Rhinolophus ferrumequinum: one gene and its partners. The protein of the gene in region 4 interacts with the protein of the main gene of each other region in a biochemical or structural test. Links are inferred from orthologs where the notes say so. Each region holds a gene or a part of one and is shown on either strand. Other genes may lie near its edges.

Region 1 (7,517 bases), on a different chromosome or scaffold from region 4:
TTAAAGGTTGGATCCTAGACCAGGGCAGAATCACACAGAAGATTTGCCAGCGGATCCCTCAGAGTCCTTTCTCATTTGCCCCAGTAACGAGACCTTCTCCTGGCCTGGACTCCCTGCCCTAGTCAGTCATAATTTTGGAACCAGATGTGCCTAGACTGCCAGCTCTCCAAAGTCACATGATTTATTCATGCTGCAGCTCTCCCCTGTCAGTACGTCTACTGCTCTCCCAGATCCAGGTCACGACGTTCCCAGGCTCCGCTCCGCACAGTGCCCGGCCTCCTGCTCCCCCAAGAGCACCAAGCTGGTCAGGGGCAGCCAGGAATGCACCCCCAGGTCCCAGTGACTCCCTAACCTCCACCACCTCCAGTCCCAGGACATGTGGGTCAGGGGCCGGGAGGACTGAAGGAATCTTTGGGGTGGGTCAGAAAGCAGGGCTCTAAATGATTCAACATGGAAAACCCGAAACCCATCCGCCTTCAGTTACAGAGAACGGCGGGGCGGGGCCAGGAAGCAGGCAGCTCCAAGGTCTTGCCTAAGGCCCAGAGGCAGGTAAACAGTGATCCAGCGCCAGGCAACATGGAGTCCAGAGCCTTCGCTCTCACCAGATGTCTGACCCTGCTTTTCCCTCCCCTGGCATGTGCCCAAGCCGCTCCTCACCAACGGGACAACGGGAAGAGCCCAGGCCACAAGTGAATTCAGCTTCATCTGTCGGCCTCTGCCAGTCCTGCCTACAAGCTGGGGGAGGACACTGCACCTGTACCAGCCACTTCTCCCTGAGTTACTCATTAGCCTGCCCTGCCCCAATTCCATCACCTCTGGCCCAGCCATAGCGTCTGGCTTCCAACTAGGAGTGACAGGGTCCCTGGACTCCTGGCAGGAAGTGGGGGTGGGGTGGTTTCGGTGTGTGGAGGAAGAACTGATACACATACACAGGGCCGGGCAATATGCTAGATGCTACGCACCTGGCAGATTTAGAAAATGGGAGAACTGGAGGTCGAGATGAGACTCCCCTCAGAGGTAACAAGAAAAGCACATGGTCAAAATAGAAAAGGACAGCTCAGCGACCTTGATCATTTGGCTCCTATTTTCTCAATAGAATTACAGAGATAAGAAGGTCCCCCATGGATCCAGAAAGAACCCCCCAAGTGGAGTGCTGGCTCGGTCCACTGAAAAAGCCGAAACCTGAGAGCCAGGCTAGAGCTGCCTGGCCAGTGGCGGAAGAAAACACAATCAGGAACTGGGCCCCAGCAAACTGGCTGGACTGGTTTGAGAGGCAAGGGGAGGGCCAGGGAGACTCCACTGGCTGCTTGCAAAGCAGACACGAGAAATTCCACACCAGAGGAGGCAGAGGGGCAAAACCATGGGCAGGGCCTCTGTCCAGCCTAGAAGCCAAAGCCAAGGCTCTGAAGGAGGAGGCACAAGACAGAGAGGGAGCCGGCGGGAGAAGATGCACAAAAACAATGAGTGACAGGCCGTGTGTGACAGGAAGCCTTGGTCTCCCTCTGCCCCTCCCTCCCAAAGATGCATTCCTGATCCCACACTAACTTTGGCCACCTCCCTGGTCCTTCGTTTTCCCCTGTTTTCCCCTTCCCCACTCATAGAGAAGCAGCCCTACCTCCCTCCTGACCTCCCACAGAGGTGAAGGCATGCAGTTCAGCCTGGAGAAGGCAGGAAGGGTTCTAGGAAGCCAGAATCCTCTTAGGGTCAGGCAAATCTCTGGCTTAGCAGTCCCCTAGCGCCAGCCCCCCACTCCCAAATATCCAGGATGAAAGAAGAGGTGCAAAAGCACCTGCAGGCAGCCTGTCTACAACATAGCGGTTACTAATTATTTCCCAATTACAACCACTTTCCTCAGGCAGGGCATCAAAGGGGCTGAGCTAAGGCTGGCTCTGGTTCCCTTACCTGCCTAGGGCAAGGGAATCTCTGTCACAAGTCTTGTCGGGGCCCCAGTGTGCACCTCCCATCTAGCTGGAGACTTGGAGGTGGTAACTCCTCTAGTTTTGTGGTCTCCTGAGGAGTCCTGCCTATGTCCTGCACCACTTGTGTCCACTGCCTGTCTGTCATGGTCCCGGAGTCAGGGATGCCTGGTGGCGTTTTAGGGAATAATGGGGATCTTCGAAGAGGCTTCAAGGAAATTGGTTAGGCTCCCAAACCTCACCCAATGGCTCCATCTCGAACCACAGAAGAAAGTACGGTGTGTTTGGGGGGGAGGGTTTGACACGAGCCCCCAGAAAGAGGCTTCATTAGAAAGACACAGTTCTAGATATTTTGTAGGCCTAGGGATCTTTGCTTCCTCATATCTCTCCCTGGGAGAGTACTGTTTCAAGAGGAAGAAGGAAACATTTTCCCTGGCATGCAAGCCTTAAACAGTTTCACACCGAGCAAAGAGACTGCCCTACCCTCTTGTTCGGCCCCTCAGCGTCTCTTATTTGCAACTGTCGTCACCTGTAGGTGAATGGTTAGAGAAAGATTCCACACCTCAGATCCATCTCAAAGCCAGGAGGGAGGTTGTCAGCACCAGCTAGACTGGCAGTCAGGGGGCAGAACCTCAAGGAACAACAGCTCTCCACGCCCTCCCCCTTATGCCTCTGAACCTGGCAGCAGTTCCCTTCGACCAACTGAGACGAACTCCTTCCCCCCAGCACCCCAGTCTCCTAGAGAAATTCTGCCCCTGGGACCGGCCTCTGACCCCAAGAGAGATCCTGGCCCTGACCCGCTTTCATGCCCTGGGAATAGCCTTAGTCTCAGGTGCCCGTCACCTGGCACCTAGGAGTGAGAGTCAGCTCTTAATCAGTACTCCCGCCCTACCTTCACCTCTCGTCTTCTCCCTGATGCAGCACCTGTGCCCTGGAGGGAGGTATCTCGGATCGCCTCGACCCCCGCCCCTCAGGGGTTACACCTGAGGGCCCGCTTGCCTCTCAGGTGTCCTTGCCCCGGTTCGGTTCACTCACCCCAGCCGGGCTCGGCGCTCCCGAGCTCGGGTTCGGGTTCGGGCTCCGGCTCTGGCAGAGCTGCATGCGCGGCTCCCAGGCCCTCCCCCTCCGTCCCTCCGCACTCCCTCCTTCTTTCTCCCCCTCCCACCAACCTGTTACTCCCCTCTGGAGCTCCACCCCCATTGGCCGTCACCACCCGCCCCGCCTTAGCCTTCTTCTGGTTGGTCCGTTTCCCGCGAGGGGCGGGGCCGCCACCGCGGGGACAGGGACCCGGGGTCGCCAGCCGGGGTGGGCGGGAGGTGCAGGCCGGGTCACGTGGGCCGGCGGGCGATGGAGCGCCTGGGCGGGGCGGCGAGGGGCAGCAGGAGGCCATTTTGGGGGCCACGCGAGACGCCCCCCCTCCCCGGCCCCGGGAGCCGCCCGCCAGAGCATCCTCTGGCCTCAGCTGGAAAATAGCCCGCCCCCCCCCTCCGCCACCTCCGGTGTTCTCAACCCGAATCTCTGTCCAGAGCCCTTTCAGCCCTCACCTACCTCCGCATACAGCGGATTACTCTCCCGTCACTTCTGCAGAAAACATCTGTCTCCCGATGTCAGAGCCTCCTCCACCTCAGTTCGTCTCCTTTTCGCCCAACCTGAGCCAGAATCCCAATTTAGGATTCTCTTCCCCATCCCCTGGCCTCCACAAATCATTTTCTAGCCTGGTACCCTTTTCACCGTAGTAATCACCTTCCAAATTACGTAATTTAATCTTAAAAAATCATATTCATCGTTTGTCTCTCGTCCTACCGTAAGCTCCGCCAGGGCAAGGATCTCTCCGGTTTTGTTCCTTGATCTATAGCAAACGCCTAAAACAGGGACTGGCACGTCCTGGGCGCTTAGTAGGTGTAGAATGAATGAATGAATGGGATGAAGTTTATGCTGAAGGGGGATGTGGTTTGACATCGAATAGGAGTGAGCCTCATTCTGAACGGAAGGGGACTCAAGCCCAAATTGTAAACGCACTTTCTAAAAAGTGGGGAAATCGATCCCAGTCTCCAGAAGAGTAAGATCAGGCCGGGGCTCAGCAAACATGAGGCTCCTACTCTAGCTGTGGTTCAACAGCACGGCTGTTAAAGCTGGCTCCCTAGATCGTAACCGTTGAGACAGGGGGAAAAGCAGATTGATTTAGCTTATGTCGCCGGGCCCTGGATGTTGTTCTCAATTATTTATTCAACAGATATTTACTGTGGACCTATTCAGGGTTGAAGAGGAATCTTAAATGCAGCTGACAGTCGGGTTCGTTCGCGGGAGCTATTTCCTTACCCTCCCCCCCAGCCTTCAGTGGCTAGGTGTGGGTCCTGGAGGGTAAAGTCCGCCTACTAGCTTCTTGGCTCCGATGCAAAGTCTCTGCATTCCAAGGGAAGCACTAATGTCAGGGTTAGAGTCCTCAAACCAGCCAATGTCCTGGGGAGGAACTGCAACAAAAGGTGTGGGGGTGGGGATCGGAAGATGGGTAGGCCTCCAGCACTGTGTTACCTCCAGACCGCGGGGGTGGGGTTTCTTAAGAGGTTTTTTTTTTTTTTTTTTTTTTTTGGAAATGTGAGATTGTTGAGTTGACCCAGATATTGGAAAAGTGGAAACGCCTCAACTCTCCTGGGTAACACCTTAATAATTAGGATACTTAGCGCATTTGTAGTAAATGCAGAGTAAGGGTGGTGCAGGAGACACCCCACCCCAGCACGCTGAACATAGACAACAAAGAAAATCCAGGAGGCCTCTGCCATCACGGTCCTGTCATCTGTTCCTCAAGGAAACAGCCTCATTCAGAAGGACACCATCAGGCACAGGTGGCAAAGGTGACACCACGGTCTTTCCCCAGAGTGCGTGGTCCCCGTCCTTAAGAAATGCTACAATTTGGCAAAAATCGGCCAGTTTATAAATATGGCAATGGTACAAAATTAGAGCAAATAGCATATCCAGAAAGAAGAAACGAATAACATGGATATAAATTCAAGAGGGTAATTTTACTTTTGGGAAATAATGGAATGGAGAAAGGTCTAGGCTAACTGGAGATTTCATCAAAGAAGTGAATTTGGAGCCCAATTTCTGTTTTAAATTCTTTCCTCACGTCTTTCCTGCGTTCTCCAAGACTATCACGAGGTCCACTGACAACTCTACTGAAACTTATCTCAAAGATCACCTGTTAAGCTGGGACCAGTTCCTACATGGAGCAGCAGGGAAGGCTACACAGGAAGAGTCATTAAAGATAGATGACCGAAAGGTGGTGATGTCGTTGGCTGAGACTGAAAGGACAGGAGACAGAAGGGTTTGGAGAGGACCCAGGAAAGGAAGCGTATAATAAACCAACTTTGGAATTTGCTATCTTGGAGAAGTAGGCAGGACACACACACAGTCTAAGAAATGAAGTTTAGAAGAGAATTTAGGGGTTGAGACGAATCTAAGTATTCTCCTCATAGATGTGAAAGTTTGCAAAGTGGACCGAAGAAAAAACCTTGAGAAATATGGAACAGATGGGGGTCGGGGGAAGTGATGGAGCATTCAGGGGCATAGGTGGGAAAGACCGTGGAAAAGAGATGTTCCAATAGGAAAAGAGACTGGACTTGGGCACTGTGGGGACAGAACCAGGAGTGCAGTTTCCAGGCTCTCAGCCTCACGTGGAAAGGTGCTGGCTCAGGTAGTAAATGGCCATCAACTGTGATGGCATGGCCATCAGCTGTGGCTAGTTGGCCATCAGCTGTAACCAGTGACCTATTGGCCACTGATATAACTGCTGTGGCTATGCTAGCAGAAAAATGGAGGCTAACAAGAGGATGGTGGCTGAGCTAGCAAGCGCGGATTGCAGAGAGGTGGATGCCGCCAGTGAGAATATAGTTGTATGACTCCCCCATCTATGGCTCCCTGGGTGTTCCTTTTTGGCCTCACCATATCCTGCATTCTTATGTGGGGAGCGGGACCAGAGACCCCGCAGGCTGCCCCGCACGACAGGCACTTAAAAGTTGATCTTCCAGATGTCAGTTCAGCTGTGCTGCAGACCCTCTGCTCAGACTGCGATAACAAGTATATCAGGAAAAGAGGAGGAGAAAGGGTACCTTGACTTAAGAAAAACAGGGTGGAAGAAAGAGGAAGTTTTATGTTTGTTTTGTTTTGCTTTTAGGATGGAGAGAGTTGGTTATATTTTGAGACTAACCCCGAAGAGTGACCGAGAGTCAAGAAATGAAAGGGTCACCTGAAATTAATATAATATTTTATGTCAACGATAATTGAAAAATACATTTTAAAAATTAATAATAATAATAATAATAATAAAAGGGAGAGAGAGAACAGCCAAAGCCTGGACCTACAGGGAAAGGTAAAATCTGTGTTCTAGAACTTAAATTGGGAGACCGGGCATGAAGGAGTTACGAGAGTTGCGGAAGTTGAGTCAGACAACTTGAGGTCGTAGGACTCCTGAACCTGCCAAAGAAAGGAGTGCTTCTGAGGGCTGGAGACATCGGAGACAAGTTTTGGAACTGTTGGAATCATCTGTAAACCTAACAAAGGATGTGATAGGTGCCAAATGAGTGGCACGAATGAAAAGCTCCCAGAAAGTCTCCTTTTCAACTAGAATTAGGGTGGTATCCAATCTGGGCCTTGAAAGGAAACGAGTAGTTGAAAGCAAAGGAAGAATAAAGGCAAGGAAACGTGCAAAAGGTTCTTTTGCCCACATGTCATGGGGTAGGAAAGTGTCATGTTTGTTGTGGGGACTGGAAGGCGCTCCCAGAGGTTGGGCAAACAGACAGGGGAGTAGTGGGAAATGAGACAGAAAGGTAGCATCTGGGATCGATTATGCAAGGCCTTGAACATCAGACTGGGGGCTTTTTGGGTAGATAATGGAGAGCCATCGAAGGTTTTTGAGCAAGAAGGTGGCAGTGCTTCCGAAGGTTAACCTAGGTCAGTATAACCCATGCAGTGACAAAGTGAGGTAGTGAGCGCCACACAGAGTGGGGCAAAGGGAGGGAAAAGAAAGGGACCACTCCCCGCCATGTCCTTCTAGTAAATTACTCATCATTTCTTTCTCAAGCTTTGTTTACAAACACTTTGCTCTTCAACAGAAATAATAATATATAATTATACTATCGCTTGGGGCTTTTCCTGGTTGACTAAAATTTCTGTTATGCGTGTTGTTAGAGAAGATAAGAAGTGGTCACTTGATGACTCACCTGAAATACTTCATATGTTCACTTGCTATACGCACTCGATCCTGGGTTCAGGATCTCCAAGAGTGCCCAAAAGATATTTCGTTCTTTCTGACCCTTATTCTTTTCCTCAGTTTGACTAGGGAGGTGGAGCCACAGAGATTCTACGAGTGGACAACACTGATTGAGAGCACTGAGTCAGGAGTCAAGAGACCGATACAATTCTAACCAAGTCTCCTAATATCCTTGGAATTCAGTTTCCTCTGAGAAATTAAGAAGATGATCCTGAATTCCATAATTGCATTGTTTCCTTTGGGCTTCTTGCGGGAGAGGTGGGGGCGGGGGGAGTCATGTTCTGTCTTCCAGCTTCTCCTTTTATCATTGATTGGCTGGGAACATGAGTAAGTGT
Region 2 (7,873 bases), on a different chromosome or scaffold from region 4:
CAATTCTGTAACACTTCATCTATATATCACTTTGTGTGTTCACTACCCAGAGACACCACCCACTCTTTCCATCACCATATATTTGATAGCTTTAGCATATTCTTATCAAAAGGAAGAAACCAAGGCTAATTGTTTTCAAGATAGACAGTATGGTGTAGTGGGAAAAGAACCTGGACTTTGGAGTCAGAAAAGAATTTGATTTTGCTTCTGTACTTTCTAGCTGTGTGGCCTTGGGAGAGTCACTTCCATTCTTTACACTTTAGTTTTCTCATCTGTAAAATGGAGATGATACCAGCCTCTCAGTGTGGTCGTGGCCAATAGTAAGTCCTTAACAAATGGTTAACTGTATTCAAAGCATATTGGTGACCTAAAGGGTAGTGTCAACGTCACATCAAAATCTGTGTGTCTCAGTTCTGCCTGGAACATGTTGAGGAAGTTCCCTAACTTCTCCAAGCCCTAGTTTGCTCATCTCTAAGGTTTTGAGTCTCAAATAAGGTAATGGGGACAGGAGCCACTCTGATAAATATATAAGATGCAACAGCTATTATTAGAAGCAGGCAGCTCTGAAAGAAATTCATCTCTTTGAGGGATCCTCCTAGAAGTCAAGCCCTGGCTGCTCTGGAGGAACAGAGAACTCTAGGTCTTGCCAGTTGAATTTGTCTTCTGGGCATGGGACCAACACACTCCATGGTCCAAGAGCTGGGCAAGAAAGCTTCATTTAGGATCCTTAACTAATCTTCCTTAGAGGGGAGATTAGAACTGCAGGAGACGATTAGGGGGATAAAGACTGACAGGAGCTTCTGAATTAACCCCTTCTTGCCCTGCTAGTCCCCCTGATTTTTTGGTTTGAGAGTCTTGTGCACAGACCCCTTCTTTGGGAGCACCCTCATAAGACTGAGTGGGGCAAGACAGGTGGGGTTCACACACTCAAGGAAGGACCTCATGTGGTGTCCTGGGGGTGATGGGGGCCACCACAGCTCTCTTCTGCCAGTCAGCTTCATTTCTCCATGTGTTGACCTTCCAGCCCCTCACAGGAGTCTGAGACCCAGCCTCTGAGGGTTCCAGTAAGTGGCAAAGCCATTCCTTTGAAGCCCCACTTTCTGGAAAGTTTGTCCTTGGAGCAGTTCACCTTTCCTTCGCATCAGTTGATTGATAACAGCTTGGGGAACTGCAACTGGATTGAGAGATTTTTCTAATTGCTTTTAAAAAGAAGTTTATTTTTGTCCTGAACATCAAAGTAAATCACTCTCATTTTAGAAAGCTAGAAAATGCAGAAAGGCAGCCTTTAGAAAACAGACATTACCTACAATCTCCCCAACTAAAATGCTGTTAATGTTTTGGTTCCAACTCTGTTTCAAAGAGGACACTTCAAGAGAATAATGTCTCAGTCCAAAGAAGGAATTTCTTTTGTTTTTATTGATATATAATTGGCATATAACATTGCATTAGTTTTAGGTGTACAACACAATGATTTGACATATGTATATATTGTGAAATGATCACAATAATAAGTCTAGTTAACATCCATCACCATATAATCACAAGTTTTTCCTTTTTTCTTGTGATGAGAACTTTTAAGATCTACTATCTTGGCGACTTTCAAATATACAATACAGTATTATTAACTAAAGTCACCATGCTGTATATTACATCCCCAGGATTTATTTATCTTGTAACTGGAAGTTTGTACCTTTTGACCCCCTTCACCCGTTTCATCAACCCATCCCCACCCCACCCCTGCAGCTGGCAACCAACAATCTGTTCTCTGTATCTATGAGCTCAGATTTGTTTCATATTCCACATATAAGTGAGATTATATAGTATTTGTCTTTTTCTGTCTGACTCATTTCACTTGGCATAATGCCCTCAAGGTTCATCCAAATTGTTAAAAATGGCAGGATTTCCTTAAAAGGGGAATTTCTAATGACAGACATGCAGACTAGTGGAGGAGTTATTTAAGGGCTTGAAGGGGAGACTTCCTGACTTCACTCAAAAATCCTCCTTCTTAGATGGTAGGTGGGGTTTTGACAAGGGGGAAGGTGAGGGAATTAGAAAGCACAATCGGTAACCACAAGATGGCCACGGGGATACGAAAGTCAATTTGGGGAAGGTACTCAATAATGTTGTAAAGATTTGGTAGGGTATCTGATGGACACTTGTCTCATTAGGGAGACCACTTCAGGGAAGAGTTAGATGCCTGATCACTGCACTGTACACCTGAAGCTGAAGCTGAACAATAATGAATGTCAGCTACAATTTTATAAGTGTATATATATATATATATATATATATATATATATATATATATATTCACAAGAAGCGGAGTACAGCATAAGGAATAAAGACAGTGGCAATGTAACGGCTGTGTGCGATGTCAGAGGGGTAGTAGACTGGGGGATGGGGGGTTATCACATTGTGAGGGGTATAAATGATGAATGTCTAACTATTACAGTGTTTTGTAGACATGAAACTAATAAATAAAAAATGAATTGAAAACAAAATCCTCCTTCTGCTGACTCCCTGAGCCTTCATGCTAAGGAAGGCACTGGAGCTGGCTGTGAGGAAACACCCCTTCTGATCATCCTTAGGCCCCTTAGTTAGAGGAGTAAACTGTAGTTCCTTTCCTCCCATCCTTTTTATCTCAGTCCTTTTGCCCTCAAAAGCTCCATTCAGAGATTGTGATCTGATTTGGAGAATGCTTCCTCTGGTCCTGTAGTTTCAAAGACTAGAAACTTTGTGGTAGCCTTGAAGAAACAAATACTACCGACCTACCTGAATTTTGCCTCCAGTGTCCTTCCCTCAGAACCCCAAGGTGGCCCAGCCTGGCTGGACCGTGGGCCAAATTGACAGCAACTAGGAAGCAAGAGCCCACCTAAGTGAGTTTAAAAGGCAGCAAATAAATCAGAATTGAGACACTTACAAAGCAGTTCCTTTGGAGAGCCTTGGAGGAGACGTATGGCCCTGGAGAAGATACTGAGGGAGGGGAACAAGGTGCAAGGTGCTAATATTCCAGGCTGAGGTGATAAAGGATTTCTAATTGTTTGCAGCAGCTTTGCAAAATCCATCTGCAAATCTCAGCCTCAAGTCAGAGACTTATTACAGATCAGAATTAAACCCCTGGAGACTGTGGAAGATTGAGGTACTTAAAAAAAGTTTGGCAAAGTTTGTGTTTTTCCTGTCAAAAACTCCAGCTGGGCTTTTGTGTGGTGACCTCTGTGAGCCCAGGAGAGGACTTGGGGGAGAGCAGTTTGGCCCGAGGAGGAATTCGGAACATTTCAGCTTTGGGAATAGGGAGAGGAGGGAGGTCTCTTATGCCCATGAGGTGTTCCTGGCTAGCAGCCTTCCAGCCCAGCAGGAAGTAAGCCTCATAAACACAGCCCAGTGAGCTGGTGCCCAAGCAGCCCTGCACTGCCTACAGCCGGGCAGACTGTTCCACCCATGTTTGTTCTCCAGCAAAGCCCCCAGCCCTATCCCACTCTTAAGGCTGACCCCAAGGTACAAGGGCAAATGTGAATTACAGGTTCAGACTCTGTTGGGTTCAAAGAGCAGGTCCCTACAAGGTCGGACTGCGATGTCCATAGTAACCATAGGCCTCCCCTTTGTACCACACACAGGGATACCTGTGTCATTTCAGTCTCCCACGAGGTCTGTGGAGTAGAGTACAGAGACTGGGTTTCCTCTCCAAGTGGAAAAAAAAAAAGCTTTCCTTTTTTACTGATTAAAAAAAAAAAAAAAAAAAAAAAAAAAAAAAAAAAAAAAAACTAGATGCTATTGCAAAGAATTCAGAAAATAAGAAGAAAATAGAGGTCTTGATAATACTACCAGCAAGAGGTGTAATGTTAATCATTGTTAATATTTTGATGTACTGTAGAGACATGAGTAGAAATATTTTTACAAAATTGAATCACATTATATCCTGCATATTTCCATGTCAATTAAAAAAATGAATCTGGATCATCTCTTATGACTGCACTGTATTCTATTATATAGAAATATAATCTATTAAACCAATAACTAATAGACATTTTTGTTATTTCCATTTTTTTCATCATTATAACTTAGAATCTTTACACACAATATGGATAATTCCTAGGAATAGAATAGCAGGGGCAAAGAGTATGCATACTTTAAAGGCTAAAACAACATATTAGAAAAGTAGGGCAGCTATTACTATTTCCAGATGAGAAAGCCTAGGCCCAGTGAAATGAAATAAGTGAGTTACTCAGCATCCCCAGCTGGGCAGTAATAGTGAGACCTGGAATCTAGGTCTTCAGATGTCGGGTTGAATAAACTTTCCAGTGTACCTTGCTGACTCCCTCCCAAGGATTCCTATGTAAAAATGATAAGACTAGTGGCCACTATTCATTGGACACTTTCTAGGTGCCAGGCAGTGTGCTGAGGGTTTTCTATACATTGTCTCACTGAGATGCTTCAGAGCCAGGCCTAGGCACCAAACCTGGCCATCTCTGAAGCTTGGTTCTTAATCATTATGCTCTACTCCATTTTTGAAGTAATATCAAAGCAAACAGGCAGAACGTTGCCTAATGTGAATTCAATGAAGCAAATAAAAAATCATTGTCCTTTCCAACGTGGCCCATAACTGTTTTTCAGGTGAGAATTGGGTACTGACCCCTGACAGTGCTCCCAGGGTGCTTACACTTGGCAAGCTGGGACAAGCTAAAAGGGAAGCCATGTCTGAGTTCAGACTTGGGGATTCTTTAGGCATGAAAACAAGCAAGATTGAAGGAGTGGGAAGCATAGCAGGCTAACCCTCTAACCAGCTGTGCGAACTGGGGCAATTCTTCACATCTTCTGTCTCCGGGCTTCATCCAGCTGACTTCCCACAGCTGGGCTAATGAATATGACAACATTTTCACAAGTAAAAAATGCTGGCTGAGTGCAAAATAGAATTATCAGCTCACAGTGACTCTGCAATTTAGAATAGGAAAAGGCAGAATCTTAGGAGCAGGTGCCAGGACGGATGAGGGTACTTCGTTGGCAGGATGTGGTTACCAGACTGGCAGTCACTCAAAGACTAGGTTCTAACACGGTGTTTCCTACAGGTTGGCACTGTCAGATCCTGGTGGAATCATGCCAAAGACTATGACTCCTCAGTGTTGAACCTGGGAAGCTCCTTAGTAAACTGCTGAGACCCTTGCCAACATCCAGAGAGCCTGGATAGGTGGGGGAATGGAGAGGGGTCTGAAAGAAGGGAGGAAAGGACAGCAGTCTGAGAAAAGCAATATCTGGTTAAGGAGAGGAGTGAGCAGTGAGAGAATAAAGGGAGGAAAATGAGGGTCTGGGAAGAGATGGGTTAGGGAAGAGAGCAGGAGAGGCCTTTGAGGAAGAAAATCTAAGAGAAGTCTAAATAAAGCAAGATCTTGAGGGAGAGGGAGGAGATGGTACTATGAAAAGAGTTTAGAAAGAGAAATAAAAGAGATTCTAGGGGCAAAGGAGCAGGGGTGAGAGGGCTATGGGAGAAGGAGTTAGGGTCTAGGGCAGAGAGAGGATTAGAGGTATGAGTATTCCATCGCCACCAAGAAGTTCTCGTCAAAGTCACAAATGACACCCATGACACAAAATCCAGTGGCTGCTTTTCAGTCCTTAACTTCCTTGACCTCTCTCTGTTGCAGTGTTCAATGCCCTCGATAACTTTGCCCTTCTTGAAATGTTTTCTTCTCTTGACCTCTGTGATACCACTCTCCCCTCATGGTCCTCCTATCTCTCTGGATATTTTTTCATTTGCCGACTCCTCCTCAGCCAGATCCTTAAGTATAGGTGTTTCTCAGGAGCCCGACCTAGGTCTTCTTCCCTTCTTACTCTGCATCCCCACTCTCGGAAGTCTCATTTATCTCTCATGGTTTCAATTACCCTGTATATTCTGATGACTTCCAAATTGTCATTTTCAGCCCAGACTGCTCTGAAATTCACTGCCCTTATATACTGACATCTCCATTTGGATAAATCAAAAGCATCTCAGACTCAACATGTCCAAAATTATATCGTTGATTCCTTTGCAACTAAGACCAATCCTTCTTCAGTCTTCTTCATTTGCAAAAACCAGTTGTTTAAACCAGAAACCTCAGAGTTAGACTTAATTTCACTCCTTTCTCTTTCTTTGGCCCTCCACTCCCCATCTCATTTGATGTGTAAATCTTTACAATCCTACCTCCAAAATAAAGCTCTTTCATCCATCTAATAATTTCCCATGTAAACATGATACCTCCATTACCATCATCTCTCAAAATTTGTGGTATCAGGACCAATTTACACTTTTAAAAGTTATTTAGGAAACAGGCCAATGTCCTTCAACTAGTGAATGGATAAAATATAGCACATCTGCCCAATGGAACACTACTCAGCAATGAAGAGGAATGGACTATTGATGCAGATGACTACATAGATGAAGCTCAAATGTATTATGCAGAGTGAAAGAAGCCAGATTTAAAAGGCTGTCTACTGTGTGATTCCAATTACATGACATCCTTGAAATGCCAAAACTATAGGGATGGAGAACAGACGAGTGGTTGCCAGGGGTTGGGGATGGTAGAAGGAGTTAACTACAGTGGTTTGGCACAGTGAATTATTTTGGGTGTTGAGACTGTCATGTTTGGTGCATAACTCTACTATTTGTCAAAATTCATGGAACTGTACATCCAAAAGAATGAATTTTATGTGCTTTTCCACATTTCATCACACAATATTAAAATGACATGTATGTATATTTAAAAATAAATAAATAAAAGGTATTCATCAAAAATGATTAAAGATTCTGAAGGGCTTTCATTTTTATGGGTTATGTCTATTGACATTTACCATACTAGAAATGAAAACTGATAAATTAAAAACTATTTTTTAAATTTAAATCACAATGAAAAACACATTGCATGTTAAAATAAATAACATAATTATGAAAAAAAATACCTTTTCCAAAACAAACAAAAAATTATCAAGAAAAGTGGCATTGTATTGCATTTTTGCCAATCTCTGGATATCTGGCTGAATAAAAGGCAGCCAAATTCTCATATCTGCTCTTGCATTCAATCTGTTACCATATGTTGTTTTGGTTAAAGTATATGAAGAAAATCCAGCCTCACAAAGAAATGTTGTTGAAGAAGGGGTTATTTAATAGCTGTTTTGGCAGAATTCTAAGAATGACCCCAAATGACCCTCACCTGTGTACAATAAATTTCTCCTTTGAGAGTGGGTGTTTATGATGTTTATCGGGGTACCCCCATGATTATGTTACTTAATTGACAAAGAAAAATTACCCAGGTGGACCTAATGTACCCATGTGAGTCTACAAAGCTGAGTGCTTTCTCTGTCTAGTGGCAGAAAAGGAAGTCAGAGAGATCCGAAGTCTGAGAAGTACTTGACTTGTCATTGATGAATCAAAAAGGGAAGGGGCCACATGAGAAGGGATGTGGGCAGCCTCTAGGAGCACAGAGTGGCGTTTGGATGACAGCCAGCAAGGCAACGGGGAGCTCAGGCCTACCACTTGCAGAATCTGGACTTTTTTTTTTTCTTTTTTTTTTTAACATTCTGAGTGAGCTCGGATAAGATCCCAGTTCAGCCAACAACTTGACTTCAGCCTTGTGAGACCCTCAGCAGTGAACTCAGGTGAACCCACCTGGACTTCTGATCTACAGAACTGTAAAATAATAAATGGGTATTGTGTTAAAGTTGTTAAGTTTGTGGTAATGTCTTATGGCAGCAATAGAAAACTAATACATTGTGGATATTCTTCTTCGGTACTACACCTAAACTTCACAAGTCGTAGTTTCTTAATGATCATTTGCAATGTTGAATCTGAAACCCTATCAATGAACCTTTTGTACTCTGTGACATTAAAATCCATTGGTCTATCTTGAAC
Region 3 (7,519 bases), on a different chromosome or scaffold from region 4:
AGTGCGACATTTGTTTCTCCAGGAACTTTCTGTTACATTTTCATAAACTGCTTCGCAAGAAGTACCTAAAAAAACCCCTGCTGTATCTCATTTCCTATGTTGGTTCAAGCACACCGTATCCCTTTAGGTACTTATGGAATTATGCTTTTCACAGCTGACACTATTTAGAGCAGGGGAACAAGGGCTCTTAACATGTCTAGCGCTAAAACCTTGATAAATCCCTGTGTCTCGACCCTAAGGTGCCAAGTGGGTTCCACTGGCAAAGAGAATAAGGTTCAATTTCAGGAAACTTCTCACCAAGCTTTTCACCTAAAAGCACTTCGAGGAACGCAACCTTTTACAAGGAACACGACTTAAATATACAGATAATCCTGTGCACCTCTAGAGGTCACGGAGCTATACCAAATCAGCCAGTGAATCACCACCCCAGGTCTCTCCCTCAGGTGGGTGTGAGCACCACTAGCCAGGTGGAAAAACAGAGACAGGTTCTATGGCCCCATCCAAAGGCATCCAGTGAGTCACTGGCAGGTTGGGGAGAGTACTTGTGAGTCAAGGCTCCTTCTTCTGGGAATCAGTTCTGTGAGGAGGCCTCAGCCCCACCTTGAGTAATCTCTGGGTTTAACCGAAAAGAAAAGCATCTGATCTGGAGTTTAAAAAATATATATTCATCAGGCAGAAATCTCAAAAATGTGTACGGGGAGAAGAGGAGGATATCGTTTAAGTCTCCCACCGCAACTTCGAAGACTACAACAGCTATATTAACTAGGAACAAATGAAAATAAAACACTTGAACACATTATCATATGTAGAGGTGACCTGAGTATTTACAACATGATGCAATCTGATTCCATGCGTCAACTAAGGAAGTTAAAAGGACACATATTTAAACATGTTGAAAATGAACTATTTTGATCAGAAGAATCAGAGAGCTCTCTAGAATTGCCCTTAGAACCTTGTCCATCTGCCAGTTCCTCGAAATGACACCCAAAATGCCTAAAACCATTTCTTTATATGTATTAATCTCCATTGAGATTAATACATATATGAATTCAATCTCCATTGAATCTCTGTGGAGATTCAATGATTACATAAAGGAGAATACCTAATACACTCCTTATATTTGGTGTAAAGGAATCCTAATATGCGGATTTTGAACAGCGAAAACGACAGTACTCAAAACTACCACGCACATTGACTGACCAAATTCCACAGGTGGTCAAGGGGTTTAAGCAGATTCAGAACAGATTTAATAACCCTAAAGTATATGGCTTTTGACAAACCACATGTGGGAGGTGAACAAAGCATGTGAAATAAACTGGAGAGATGACAACACTGTTCACCCTCAGCCCATAAAGGGCCCGGTGGGCTGGCTTGTTTGTCTAGGCAAAGACTAAGGAATCTTCTCTTAAGTTAGTTCAAGGGCATAACAGACACATGCTGCATGACAACCAGTGTAATATCTCCAGGAAGATACTCCAGCCATGAATTGTTATTACCTATGAAAGTGGGAATTTAAGAAGTTTCTGATAAGGCACTCAAAAGCTTTTATTTAAAAACATGTTAAAAAGGGGGGAAAAATCCATCCTGTCATTCTTTTCCCCACTATCTTTAGGAATATTGCTGTCTACATAATCCTTTCTAACTTGAAAGAAGCAAACATCCCTTATGTAGAAAATCCTTTGTGGGAGGTGGAAACTTGGGGAAGACCCACCCTCTCTCTCTCACTAACTTCCTCCCCAGAGCTGACCTCTGCTTTCATTAGCTGTGTCTACTTTGTGGCATTTTTCTTACCTCTTTTTTTCCCTTCACACTATGATGGGAGGTTATGTAGAACTTTTTCTTTTCTTGTCCCTTTTTGCCACCTACTACCAACCTTCACTTTCCAAAATAACACTAAACAATCTGCCTCCTCTGAAGACCCCTGGCTTGAAAAGTAAAACCTTCAGAGGACATCTCAAGAGGCTTCTTCAAGGAGTCATGCAAGGGGTGCAAAGGGGACTCCCCAAACTTGCTGCGTCTTAAAAATCAGAAGATTCAAACTTAAATGTAAGTAGATGCCAATGTAGGAATGCGACTTTTTCTTTGAAAAGTCATAGTAAAGATAGCCTGGGGGAGGGGAGGAGAAAAGCTTATCTAATACTTTGAGATTATCTATTTAATTTTACAAACTTAAGAAGCTATCAGGCTCCAAACGTTTCAAGGCATACTATTTTCTTGTCCAAACACTACCATTCTTCAACTTACACAGAATCAGACTGAGAATGTCCAAGAGAGGCCTAAGAACTCAAGTTTGAATTTGACCTTCACCTCTGGATCTCCACCCTGCTCTCATCAAAATTTAAGATGAAACCACACCAAGAAGGGAGAAAAAGTGTTACCCGGGGAATTAGAGGCAAAACTAGAGCTTTGTTCTGGGCTTCCCTTTTCCCAAACCAAGGTTCTCTCCGTTTCCTCAAGACAAAGCACATGATCTGAAGACTTGATCGGCTGAATACTGATAACCATGTAATCACAGAACGGAATTGGAGGCTGGATGCCACTACCCCAAAACGGAACCACTGGGGGATTGGGATCTCCAGGTCACAGCTGTAGAGGTGGGGAATGCACTCACTGTTTAGATTCAGCAAGGAGTCGAAGACTTTGCACTGGATTTGCCCTGTGCTCTGTGACACGCAGGACATCCACAGCCCCTCGTAGATGGACTGGGCCGTCACGATGTTGTCGCCCGCATAGGAGTGAGTCTTCCATTGGGGCATCGCCGTACTGATGATGGCTCCCATCCAGCCCAGGAAGGCCAGGATGAAGCCCAGCAGTTGCAGCCCCGCGTTGGCCATAGCTCACTCGGGCGCCTGGGCTCGCTCAGTGGTGGCAGGTGCAACGCGCGGAGATTGCGGGGGCGCACCCGGGGCTCCTGGGGGTGGCGGAGCCGCGTGGAGGAAGTTGTTGCTGGGAGCTTTGCTCCTTGCGCCGCCGCTGGAGAGGATCTAGATCGGGGTCCGGATTGGCGCTGGAGTCCGAGTGCGAGAAGCTGCCGCTGCTCCCAAGCTCTGTGACTGAAACGCCAACCTGCAGGGCGCCGCAATTTAAAGCAGCTCCGCCCCTCGCCCGGGCCGGCCGCCGCGCAGCACCCCCTGGCGGTTTCAGGGCGGCTCGCGGGGGGAGCGGGAGGGAGCGCTCCGGCCCTTGTTGGCCCCCGCGCCCTTGGCCGGGAGGTCCCAGCGCGAGGTGGGGGCCACCTGAGAAGGATCAGGTACTAAAGTGTTCCGGCGCTCGCTCCCTCTCGTGTCTCCCTTCGCTCTTGTTTCCTCTAGTGTGCCTTCTCAGATGTTCCATTCATTCGATCTTTATTTCCCCCCAATGTACTATTATGTGTAAACATTAACAATGCATGAAGATGAAAAAGGGAACCCTCCAGGGACCCACAGTTGCACGGTCCACTTTTTCTCACTATGTTCTTAACAGGCATTTCCTATCTGTCTCCACCACCTCCTCCCTCCCTTCACACACAATTCTCTCTCTGTTGTTCAGCTTCGTCCCTGTTCTCCTTTCCTTCTCCCCTTCAAGGTCTCTTCTAGAATCCGGTATTTCTGCAAGGGTGGTAAGAAATCAGTATACTTTACAGATTAGGAAACTGAGACCCAAAAAGGAAATATGATTTCCGTAAGATCACACAGCAAGCGAGTAGCACACCCAGTACAATGTTCCCAGCCCGCTCTTCTTTCTACTACATTTCGACTTAACCGAAATATATGTCCTTTAAGCAATTATCATCGCTACGAAAATGCAACCTCCCCTCCCCCCAGCCCTCCCCCGCCACACGCACCCCAGCCTCTTCCCCTCAGTACTTTGTGTTACAGCAGCGATTCATTATCAGAGGGAGGAGGACAGTGCGTCCCCCAACCCTCAATGGGTGTTTCATTAATGAATTACCAGATGCTAGTCATCAAAGGCAAGGGTATCTAAAACGCCTGAACCCAGGAGAAAGAGGACTGGGCCAGGATTGGGGAAGTCCTGGTTCTGCCTCTGGGTTTTGCCGTGACTGGCTATGGCCACACCCTCAGGTCTTTATCTAGTCGAGCCTTTTGTTTCACTCTATGGGTCTCTAAAGCTTCCTTCTCTGTAGTTAAATGGCGCTGTGGTTTGCAATAATTAAAATGTTTTCCCAACTGCTTTTTGTGTGTGGTGGGAGGAGAAGCTTCTATGGTTTTGGTCAAAACAGAAGCACCTCAGAGGCAGAAATAAACACGGTAAGGAGAAAAAAGATCTGCCCCAGTATTCACTAGGGGAGCTGCCGGTTTGTGTCAAGGAGGGAACAGTAAACAAGTTCTCAGAGTATGAATGAGAAGAATGAAAAAACTCTACCCCTTGGGGGATGTTGATAATGAGGGTGGCGATGCATATGTGGGGGGCAGAGAATCTATATGGGGATCTCTGTATCTGCTGCTCAGTTTTGTTCATCTAAAACTTTCCTTTAAAAAGTCTATTAAAAAAGGGAAAACAAAGCAAAAACCCCAAACCCCTCACTTCCACCCAACTCTTCAGATACCTTTTGAAGGTCTACATCCGAAGGACAAATCTCTGCAGAAAAATTTGGGGACTAGCAATGAAGAGGGTAACACACAAGCTGGATGGAGAGCTTTAGTTGGGAGTAAGCAAGTTTGAAACAAGTCGGTGATGTCCTGAAAGCCTCCCTAGGCCCCAGGAAGGCCCTAAGTCAGCTCTGTAGGGCAGAGTGAGTCCCACATCAGGGTGAGTCCCCTGAGTCTGGGCCTGCAGTCAGCAATTCCTTTTAGGGCCTGATGGATGTTCTGTGGGCACCTGTGAGTGTGGATGACGAGGTATCAATCATATTTGCTTTATGTATTCCCCAGGGTCACTTAGCTCAGAGGAGTTTCCCAGAATTTGCTGTAGGTCTAGTTCATTACCATGTCAATCACATAATCTTATCTGTTTTGTTCCAGTCAATTCAGAATTAAAACTATTAAATTTTTTTTTCTTAGTTGCTCAGATTGGATCCATGAGGATGAGATTTGAGTTCAATTAATGTACTTGTGCACAAGCCTTTTTCATCTACATTAGGACCTGCTTCTATCAACCTACAGTTGGGGGAAATTGGGAGGGATGAATCCTGTGGTCAGTATGGCCCCGTGTTTTTGTTGTTTTTTTTCTTTCCAGGTCTCTGTGAGGCTGATGACTTCATTGCCCACAGCCGTGTTTATGAGGTTGCGGTGGGTACTGTTTACTCTGCTGTGATCCCATCTCTGGCATCCCTAATCCTGTCTAGTTCTCTGTGTTTTCCTAGGAGCAGATAGGTGAGATAATGGCCCAGCATAAATCCATCAAGGAAATCCATCCTCTCCATGAAGAGGAAAAACAACTTATGTACAGACATCTGGCCTTTCATATATGAAGCATGAATAATAGGGGCAGCACTGGGACCAAGAAGTTTCTAGAAAGGCTGACTATGAGGTGGCAAATGTCCTGGCCTGTTGAGTAGGAAAATCTGCTATGTACTCTCAGACAAATTGCTTCCTTTCTCTTTCTCAGTTTCCTTATCAATAAAAATTAGGAATCAGCTTCTAAAAGCTCACCCCAGCCTAAAGCTTTAGGATGCAAGGTAATAATAGCCGATCCTTGTGGGTAACATACTGTCATCACAGTGTTGAGCTAAGAGTTTTCTAGGCACCATCCTGTATGTGAAGGTGACAGAGACACAGAGAGGTCAAATCACTTACCCAGGATCATATTTGGTAATTGGCAGCCCTGGGATTCCAAACTATACACTTTGACCCTGGTGCTCAGACCTATAAGCATTGCTCTATAGTAGTTCCCTGTGTGAACCAAATCAATGGAGGACCATTGGCTTTCAGGGCTTACACATCGTGATCATGTGTTTCTCCCTCCAGGAAGTGGTAAGATGTTCCGCTCTGTGACTGCCCTACTGCTTCTTCCTGTCTCTTCTCAATTTCTGCTGCTGCCCACTAAGATTCTACACCCAGAGGATCCGGAATCGTGTCGGGGAGTGTTCTTTTGAGAGGGAAGTATAGGTGAGAACAGCACCATAGCCCACTGATTTACCCCGTGTACATATGTGACCGGTGCTTGGGCTCAGCCATGATCGTGAGAACCAGGAGAAAGTGGAAGAGATACATAGAGAGATGAAAGTGCAGGTGAGACTCGAGTTGAGAGAAGAGAGTGTAGACAAAGAGACACAATCCCAAGAGCCAGCATGACAGATTCTCAGAAATGGTTGAAGATGAGAGTAAGAAAGCCTTTGGGATATGAATTTTTCACTCAGTGACTGTGCATGTTAACACTGACTTTTCAGGGCTTCCCAGGTGGTAAAAGCAGAATGGATGGACGCATTTTTTAAGTAAACCATGGGCTATATGATTATATAGGGCTTGAGAGAGGGATCAGAGCACAGATGTGAAATTTTAACATGGATTTCAGTATTAGAATGTGAAGGTTACTAACACTAAAAACCATTGGTGCATGCCCCTGCTTTGAATCTCTTTGGAGTTTTTTGAATCTCTTTGGAGTTTTTGAGGGGGTAATAAGGAGTAAGTGGTTAAAAGCACTAACTTTTTGAACCCCAGGAGTATTACTTCCTAGTAGAATAACCTTGGAAAATTTGTACAGCATACTTGTACCCTAGATGTTTCCTCTTTCAAGGGAGTAAAACTCTACTTCATAGTGTTATGATCATTAAGCCCGTTGAATGAACATCACTTAGAATAGTAGTTGGTACGTAGCAAGCACATGAAATGGTAATTATTATTTTATCAAGCAGAACAGATGCATTTAATTTGCTAACCCCACCATTTACAAATGATCCTCGCATATGTTCAAAAGCACTCTTTTTCTTGACTTGATTCTATTAGAATTCCATTTAATGCCATAGTTAAATCACAGTGACAGGATATGCAGTGTTTAGAAGGCAGATACAATTCTGTATTCAGAAATCGAAAAGGCAGAAATCGAAAAGAGAGTGAGGGGGGTTTTACTGAGATTTGTGGGCCCCTTCTCCAGGCCCTGGACAGCTTTCCCCTCTGAGTCCTGTGTATTAGCCACAGTGAAGGCTAAAGGCCAAGAGGCCCTTTCTGAGATGGGGTGGACCAAGAGCAGAGGGAAGATGGAGAATATAGTATCGAAGATCCTCTCAGCATATCAGGGAGGCTCTTCAGTTAAAAAGTTTTCCGAAGCCTCTGCCTTGTTATCAGGTGGGCATAAAGTCTTTTTTAGACCCTCCTGTCAGCTCCTAGCCTAGCAGATCTATTCCTCCCTTGCTTTCTGAAGAAAAAGAGTAGAATTTCAGCCATAAAGTCTACTTTTTAAGTATAAAAATCCACTTTGAAACAAGTTGGTGAAGAACTGTTCCCTTACTTTATCCTTTTGTGTTCTGTTTGTGTATCCTTTTAATCATTAAGATGCTAGAAACACCCCACAAATTTGATCATCGGAATCAAGGTCAAATTACTAAGATATTTTACTATCAATCCTCTTAATATAACACTAA
Region 4 (8,218 bases):
TCTTCCACAAATTTCTGATTTAATTTTGTGTAGCTTGACAAAAATTACTACATGTCCACACTTAGTTTCTGCTATGAATTTTCTGGTTGGCTTTCTGGGATTATTAGTCAGATTACTCTTCTCAGTTTCCTGCTGTCCATTATAACCACCAAGATATCTTTACCTCTGAAATGTCTGCATTTGAAAACAATTCTCATTTAAAGCTCTAGCAGCTAACACAATGCTTGGTAACTATTAATATTAGGCTGGTGCAAAAGTAATTGCGGCTTTTACAATTATTTTTAACCTTTTAAACCACAATTACTTTTGCACCAACCTAATAATATGTATTCAGTAATTATTGAATGGATAGAACGGGTGAGTAAATAAATCAATTATTATCTTTAGTCACTTGTACCTCTGGATCCATTTCCATAACTCACCTGTAGACTTTGAAGAGTCACCCAAGTTATTTTTAGGAGGAATTTAACATATATGACAGGGTAGGCTAAGAGTGAGCCCACAATGCATGTTTCTTCCACCGCCTCTCTGGTTGTCTTTTTGAAACTTAATACTTCGTATCAGCCATAGCACCATTCCGACAATTAGACTCACACTCTGAGATTCTAATTCCTGATGATGAGACAAGATTTTTGACAAGATTTTTGTCAATGTCCTGCAATGGATATTTTCTTGTGCAGGGAGCAAATGTTATCACCAAGGGGTTTCTAATTACCAAGCGATTTGTACCACTCACTCATTTCTGACGCTGTCCCTTCCCACTTCCTGATTAGTCAGATGGTACCAGCTGTGGCTCTGGGTCAACAGTAGAAAGTACCAGATGGTGTCATACCTACTTAGAGATACAGGAAAAACAAATGAGCTTCATTTGGTGCGGGAGAGGAGCGAGTCGATTGTATTACAGTAAAACCCTGGATGTGAACACCGGAGTCTGGACCAATTTCAATCATTTACCTGTAGACTTTGAAGAGACATTTTAAAATCTCGAAGAAACAATTAGCGCTTGTAAAAAAAAAAAAAAAAAGATCATACTTACTAATGGATGATTAGGACTCTTTATGGCAAAGATTGCAGGCTGCTTACCCAATATCTTCTCTCCTTTTTTCCTTAGTAACAGAACTCAACTTTTGTCCAGAGACACAGTGTGCTAAGCTAAAAAAAAAAAATTTGTCTTACCAGCCTCCTTGCAGTGAAGCGGGTCGTCAGTGACTTTAAGTAGAACTCTGGTTGGTGTTTCCTGAGACTCTTTAAAGGGGGCTGACTTGGATGAGAGAGGAGCCTGTTGGCCCCTTGGTCTTGCCCTTTCTATTTTCCTAAAATGTGGACAAGCTGGCTAGAGCTCTGGCAGCCATGCTGTGACCCTGATGATGGAAACAACATGCTAAAGAATGCAGAGCGGAAATTAAAAAGTGCCTGGACCTCTCATGACTTTGTGGAACCACCTTACCAACCCCAGACTGGCAGACGAACGCCTTTTTTTCCTACATGAGAGGAAAAAAATATCGTTTCATTAAGCCATTATAACAGGCTCTTGATACGGCACCAACATCATTTCTCATTGACACATCCTAAAATTCTGGATGTTTATTACATAATAAATCGAAGATCGGTTCACTCATAAGGCAAACATTTACTAAGTAGCTACTGTATGTAAGAAACTGGATCAGACAAGCCACTGTCTACCACCTACAATAGTAATGCAAGATAAAAATTGAAAAGGATCAGAGGACGGGGTGACAAGACGTCGTCTTAGGAGAGCTTCCTGAAGAAGGTCAGGTGTGCAGGTTTTAAACTAAGCAAACTTGAAAACAAGTGATCACAATCTATAGAAGAGAAGAAAATAGTACGTTTCCTTGAGAGGGAGAAAATTATAACTGATAATTCCTTCTTTCTATTTTTTACATAATTCAGCCAAATGTAAGAACCACTAAAGGCCAAAACTGAAGAATGTCATCAGTTTTGCCAAAGAGCCTTCCCAGCGAAGAAATTCCTCATCTCAGGTTAGTGGAAGGAAACTATTAAAGCAACATGACAGCTGTTACTTCCAGTCAGTGGGAGCTGAACAATGTAACATTGGAACTGACAAGAGCCAGAATTCATGGCCCTGCCTCTCATCAAATCCACCAATGCAGGAAGTGAAAAGGGTACGTGCACGGCTCCCCAGAACCTCTGCGTCCTTCTACTACATGACATTCCCATTTTCATAACAATTTGTCATCGTGAGACGTTAGAACAGTGGCGATGAATAGAAGATCTGAAAGCTTCCAGAGTGGGGGACGCCAACAAGCAAACAATGCTCTCAGGACACAGAGGGCACTGGGTTTCTCATTGGCAACCTTGGAAACTAGAAGACAAAGGAGCAGTGACCTAGAAATTGAGTCAAATGAGTTGCAACCTAGACTTCCATACTCAAGAAGCAATAAATCAAGATGATGGCAAAATCATGACTTTTCAGATATGCAAGGTCTTATAATCTCTAGGTCTCATGTATTCTTATTATTAGAAAAGATTATCCATCAAAACAAGGAAGTAAGCCAAGAAAGAAGCTAGGCGGTCCAGAATACAGGGGCCCCAACATAGGAGAGAAATGAGAATACTCAGACAACGTGAGCCTAGAATAGAGGCAGCAGGATGGAGGGCTCCTGGAGGGCGGGTCCAGGAAAAAATGGAAACTGATGGATCGTGTGTAGTCTGAGTCCATGGGAAACTATATTGCAAGGCATTTCACATTATTGTTGCAGACATAAGGACACTTAGCCATGGATATTAATAAAATTAAACAAGTTGAAAAATAAGGCAATTAACTCCAGGTAAAAGAAAAAGTTGTAGGAGAAAGTGTAATCGTGGTACAACACTAGTGTCAGTATCAAACAATGTTTAAATAGTCACAATAAATAAATATGTGGAGTTAACCAAAAATGTTGATGGTCCACAGGGAGGACATATAAATGTCTTGCCTGGGGTTGCCAGCATTCTGGAAGTGGGTGGGAGAAGAAAGCTTAGCATCTCAACTCAAGACACAGGCCTTCCTGATTTCTCCTTTTCAGTCTGAGGTTGCTAAGATCTATAGTAAGAACGAATCTTCTATCCGTGGAATTGCCTAATTTTATAAATTAAACCTTATCATAGGTAGGTATGTAGAGAAAAAAACCCGTATATATAGGATTTGGTACTATCTGGGATTTCAGGCATCCACTGGGGGTCTTGAAACACATCCCCCATAGATAAGGGAGATACTGTATAAAAAATTAGGCTTTGCTTTACAGGTTCAGATAGGCCTGATGGTACGCTACCATGGTTTAGTTAAATAATAACTGTTGCCCAACAATGTGATTTAAATTGCAGTTATCATGGCATTACCTGTAAGTAAATGCATACAGTACAAATGCATATAGTACGAACATGCTGCTAGCTCTTTAGTCCATAAATCACTACATAAATAACATGCACATCATGACCAGTGGCCAATCACAGCAGTTCTTTCAAAGCCGGTCCGTGATTCGTCTCTGAGCATCTGTTATTTAGTTTAGGCACTGATAGCAAAGTGTGCAGTTGTGCTGCCTCTTTCTCTCTCTGGGATAAACCCACAAAACACTGTATTTTTATATAGGTAACTAAAAGAGGAAACTGGCCACCAAAGGTGGAAAGTGCAGCAAAGAAACAAACAAACAAAAAATGATAAAGATGGAAATGCAGTGAAATTGGAATGAAATGTAATTGGAGTTATTAAAAAAATTGGCAACTGGGAACGTTGACATTACCATGACGTTTCCAGAGAGTGGACATGCAGTCAGAGGAACTGACTGAATGTGAACTTGAGTGAGGAAAGTGGTTGTGACAAAAATGATGAGGGAGTCCCAGAAGACATCACAATTCACAATAGTGAAAGAGCAGGGGTTAAATGTTGACAGTGATCCAAACTTTGCTTTGCCAAGGCACAGAAAGGATGCTATCTGGAGATGTAACAATTCTACCAGGAGAAAACACACACTGTTCCAGTTACTCTTGACAAGTTTTCCTTACAAAGAAATGAAACACTTGAATTCTCAATGTTTTAAATTACATTGTATTCAGTGATTAGTTTTACAATGTTTTTCATTTCCCTATACATTTATAACCATCAATGAAGAAAGTTTGGAATGTTTTGACAAAATTTTTTGAAGGTCACGGAACAATCTTATTTTTCCCCATTGATTATTTGCATGGTTCGTGGTCATTTCCACAGTCCCAAACTACTGTGCAAATGAGGACTGCATCACACACACACACATATATATTTATATATATGTATATATATACACACACACATATATATGATATATATATACCAGGGGTGCCAAAAAATGTATATAAGGGGACACTTTGGCAACGTTGCTTAAGTGGTAGTTCACCATCATCCGAAGTGTCTGGACGCTGATGGGAACCACTTTGAGCACCTCTTGTCATTGCAGAAGTCAAACGTGCCTTGTATTCATCTTTTGTTATCGGTATATATTGAGCATTACAATTTTAATAAGTTTTCCTTTCTTAAATTGTGTACACATTTTTTGGCACTCTATATATCATAGATATGTACACACACGTGTATATATGTGTGTACATACATGTGTATGTGTGTATACATGTGGGTATATATGTGTATATGTATACGTATGTGTATATGTGTATGTGTATATGTGTGTATGTGTATGTGTGTATGTGTATATGTGTATGCATGTGTGTATATGTGTATGAATGTATACACGCATATACACACATTATATATTATGTGTGCACACCAGAATGCATTTTATATACACATCATCTCCAAACACATTAGGCTAGAAAACAAATGATGGTTAGGAACCATTCAGTGGTAATTATAAATGTAAAAAATTATTTTTTTCTGCTCTGGAAACCTGTGGTTGCGATCCTGGTATAAGCGGATCCCGTCAATGCGCTCCCGTCACCGGGGAGGAAACTGAGGTCGGCGGGGCCGGGCGGCGCGAGGGGGTGGGTGGGCGGAGCGGCCCGGCCTGCCCGCCGCGGGATTGGGCGCCGGGAAAGTCGGGCGGCTGCGCCGCCCGCCGGGTGCGCCCCGCGGGGGCCGCGGCTGGCGGGGATGGAGGGGGCGGTGCGGGCGGCGGGAGCGGCGGGCCACGCACGGCGGCGGCGGCGGCGGGAGCGGCCGGCACGCACGGCGGCGGCGGCGGGAGCGGGAGCCCGGGCCACGCACGGCGGCGGCGGCGGGAGCGCATGGCCCAGAGCTGATCTATGCGGCGCTTGGAGAGGCTGTGCCTGCGGCGGCGGCGGCGGCGGCGGGGCCCTGCCCGCGAGCGGAGCGGGGACAAGATGAAGTACCAGAAATACCTGACGGTGCTGCAGATGGCCATCGGCGTCACCCCCTCCAACCGCGGCAGCCTCCTGCCGCTCAAGCGGAAGCTGTGGTGAGGGAGCGGCGGGCGCGGGCGCGCCGGGGGCCGGGCCGGGGCGCCGGGCGCGGAGATCGCGGGGCGCCGCAGCCATGTCGGGGCCCGGGGCCGAGCGTCGCCGCGACCCCCGGCTGTGCCCGGGGACACGCAGAGCGAGCGAGCTGCGCGCTCCCTGGAGGGATGGAGGGAGGGAGGGGCCGCGGGGAGCCGGGCGCCCGCCCCGGGCTTTCGCGGGGACGGCGAGCCATTTCTGAGCACCGTGCGCGTTTCCCGTTGTCCCCCAGGCCCCTCCTGCCGCGGGTGCACAGTGAAGGACGGGCCGCGCCCACGGCGAGGGGCGCGTTACGACGTTACAATGGCATCGGGACTGTATTTCACCTGCATGGGCTCCGGGTCCCCCGCCCTGGAAACTGTTACTGGGGGAACGGGAAAAGGATGCCCTTAAAGGAAAATGTCCAGGACTTACCCAGAGCTGGTTCACACAGTTGATTTTCTGCCCAATTGTATTGCATATTATTAGCATCTAAGTGTGTCATATGGAATCCCAGTGGCTTCCCAGGCTTCCCTCGACTGGAGACTTAGGTGTAAGGTTCTATCACAAAAGGAATAGTCAGGTAAAGCGATGGTGACCATGGGAAAAGGAGGCCAGGAATCTTGATATTCAACGATCGTTTCCATTTTAAAATTGAGGGCCAATGTAGTTCGTAGAGGTTTCATTCAATTCAATTGAACGGTAGTCTAATTTAATTTTAAGGTGATGGAGAAGGCAGTGAGGCTGCTTTTAGGCGTTTGAGAAAAGTAATTTCTGCTGTATAAGACAAAAATGAAAGAATTATCCAAGGACTATCAAGATTGAGCAGTCAAGAAAAAGAGGAGTTAAAGGAAAAAAGAATCCCAACAGTGGAGAATTTTGGAGGTAAGACCAAAAGAATATGGGCTGCGAAGTTCCAATTTCAACTTGGCACTTACTGTGTGACCTTAAGCAAGTGAACGGGAGTATCTGTTTCTTCCTCTGTAAAATGAGCACAGTGCTATTTATCTGCCTCCTGGGGTCACAGATGAACGGAGAGAGTGGATACAAAGTGCATGCCCCGGTGCCTGGCTGAGTAATGGGTGCTTAGTGACTACCAGAGTCCTCCTCCCTGCCTCCCCATTTGTTTAAACAAAGACATTTATTCTGCAAAAGGCAATATAATTTGATGGACAGCAAGTGACCACATCGAAGACTAGACTGGTAAAAGTTGGCAGTAACTGAATTAAGAAATGTCCATGGAAGAAGATGTTAGCAAATATATGAAGAATATGTCATCATTGTGAAGCCAGAAGTAGTGACATTTGAAGATGACTTTTCAGATTGACGGTGGATAGGGAAAAAAAAGTCAGCACTAACAGTAGTACCCCCAGCCTGCTTTTCTCCAGAGCACTTATCAATATCTAATACTACATATCGGACTTAATTTTCATATATATCACCTCTCCCCACACTAGAATGTAAGTTGTATGGGGGCAGGGCTTTTGTGTATTTAATTCATTACTCAGTCCCCTGCACTACCTGCTACGGAATAGTTCTCAGCAGCTATGTTGAGTACATGAATTCTTAATGATACCTAACTGGGAAAGAAAGATAAGGAAATCCGTTTTCTTGATGTCAAATTTACAAACTAAGATGTGGGACTTACTTTTGAGGAGCCTTCAGGTATATGCAGGAATTGATCACAAAGTCCGTCAGTTACTAGGTTTTATTCTTTTTCATCATCAGCATGCTGCTTCTCAAAAGGCATTCCCCAATACAGAGTTTGTGAAGAGAGAACACCGGGAAATACAATCCAGGTAACTTTTGCACTCTAGAGATTCACATCTGAGGCAGACGGTGAACTGGGGCCAGGGTTAAAAATTCATCTTCCTAAGAAGAGACAGCCTGGGAAGGGCCTGAGCAGTTGGTTGAACTTTCCCACCATTTTAAAGGAGCATTTCAGAATATCCATTCTGTTTGCAAATGTGAATCTGGTTTCCACAGTGGCAAAGGGAAGAGCGTCCTCTACAAAAACTCTGGTGTGGGCGGGACTTTTAAACAGAGATGTCCAGTCGTTTGTTTTTAGCTGGAGAGTACCGTGCTGCCGCGACATGGAGCGGAATGATCTATGTCTTACGTCCTCTGGAATTGTTTTTCTGGATAACATTTCATTTCGCCAGTGTCGTAGCCAACTGCACGTGGGGGCATTTGAGATGGAAGGCACTGTTGAATGGCGAAAAGATAGAAAGATAGGGGTTCTGACTCCAGGGTGACGGATGGGCACCAGGCAATGCCTGTCACACTTTGGAACGCACCAGCTTATGCCCGTTGACAAGATGTGAGGGCGTGTGATGATAATTGGCTGTGGCGTATATGAAGATGGTTATGATAACGGTGATGAAAAGGTGTACGCGCTCTGTGCTTCTTTCTCTAAATGGTCACAGTCTGTGTGTAAATACTGCACGCTTGCAAATCTTACGCCAGTGAGTCCAGGTGGGGTTGAACGAAGCAATGCTTTGACCCCACACTTCCGTCCAGTTTGGCCACTTCTGCTCATCAGCTTCCTTTTGTGCGAAATCTTTCTGTCTTTCTGAATGGCTCCACAAATCCTTTAAGGAGTATTCTGTTGCAGACCAGTTTTGGGGGAAACTGAAGCAAACACCCATCTCCCCACCCCCGCCAGACCCACGTCTGTGGGGCCTGCAGGAAGCCTCTTGTGTCTTCTCCAAGAAATTTTGAATGCTGGAGCATTTGCAGTGTCAGGTTCTGAATCAGTGCTGGTTAAGAGCCTGGT

Evidence for each region. The genes of interacting proteins can lie anywhere in the genome.
Region 1: the proteins of TJP1 (region 4) and CGN form a complex in vitro, tested with the Homo sapiens proteins (2 studies listed by BioGRID and IntAct, with this or other methods). The link is inferred for Rhinolophus ferrumequinum from reciprocal best matches to the Homo sapiens genes TJP1 and CGN.
Region 2: the proteins of TJP1 (region 4) and CLDN2 form a complex in vitro, tested with the Homo sapiens proteins (2 studies listed by BioGRID and IntAct, with this or other methods). The link is inferred for Rhinolophus ferrumequinum from reciprocal best matches to the Homo sapiens genes TJP1 and CLDN2.
Region 3: the proteins of TJP1 (region 4) and CLDN1 form a complex in vitro, tested with the Homo sapiens proteins (2 studies listed by BioGRID and IntAct, with this or other methods). The link is inferred for Rhinolophus ferrumequinum from reciprocal best matches to the Homo sapiens genes TJP1 and CLDN1.

The regions. Positions count from the first base shown.
Region 1 is NC_046305.1:51,461,159-51,468,675, reverse strand, and holds the start of CGN (cingulin), read right to left. Parts: upstream 3,057-7,517; 5' UTR 2,952-3,056; intron 1-2,951. UniProt on the Homo sapiens protein: Probably plays a role in the formation and regulation of the tight junction (TJ) paracellular permeability barrier.
Region 2 is NC_046284.1:47,705,556-47,713,428, forward strand, and holds the start of CLDN2 (claudin-2), read right to left. Parts: upstream 3,057-7,873; 5' UTR 2,921-3,056; intron 1-2,920. UniProt on the Homo sapiens protein: Forms paracellular channels: polymerizes in tight junction strands with cation- and water-selective channels through the strands, conveying epithelial permeability in a process known as paracellular tight junction permeability.
Region 3 is NC_046285.1:55,914,307-55,921,825, reverse strand, and holds the start of CLDN1 (claudin-1), read right to left. Parts: upstream 3,057-7,519; 5' UTR 2,835-3,056; coding exon 2,612-2,834; intron 1-2,611.
Region 4 is NC_046311.1:13,163,211-13,171,428, forward strand, and holds the start of TJP1 (tight junction protein ZO-1), read left to right. Parts: upstream 1-5,214; 5' UTR 5,215-5,253; coding exon 5,254-5,426; intron 5,427-8,218. UniProt on the Homo sapiens protein: TJP1, TJP2, and TJP3 are closely related scaffolding proteins that link tight junction (TJ) transmembrane proteins such as claudins, junctional adhesion molecules, and occludin to the actin cytoskeleton.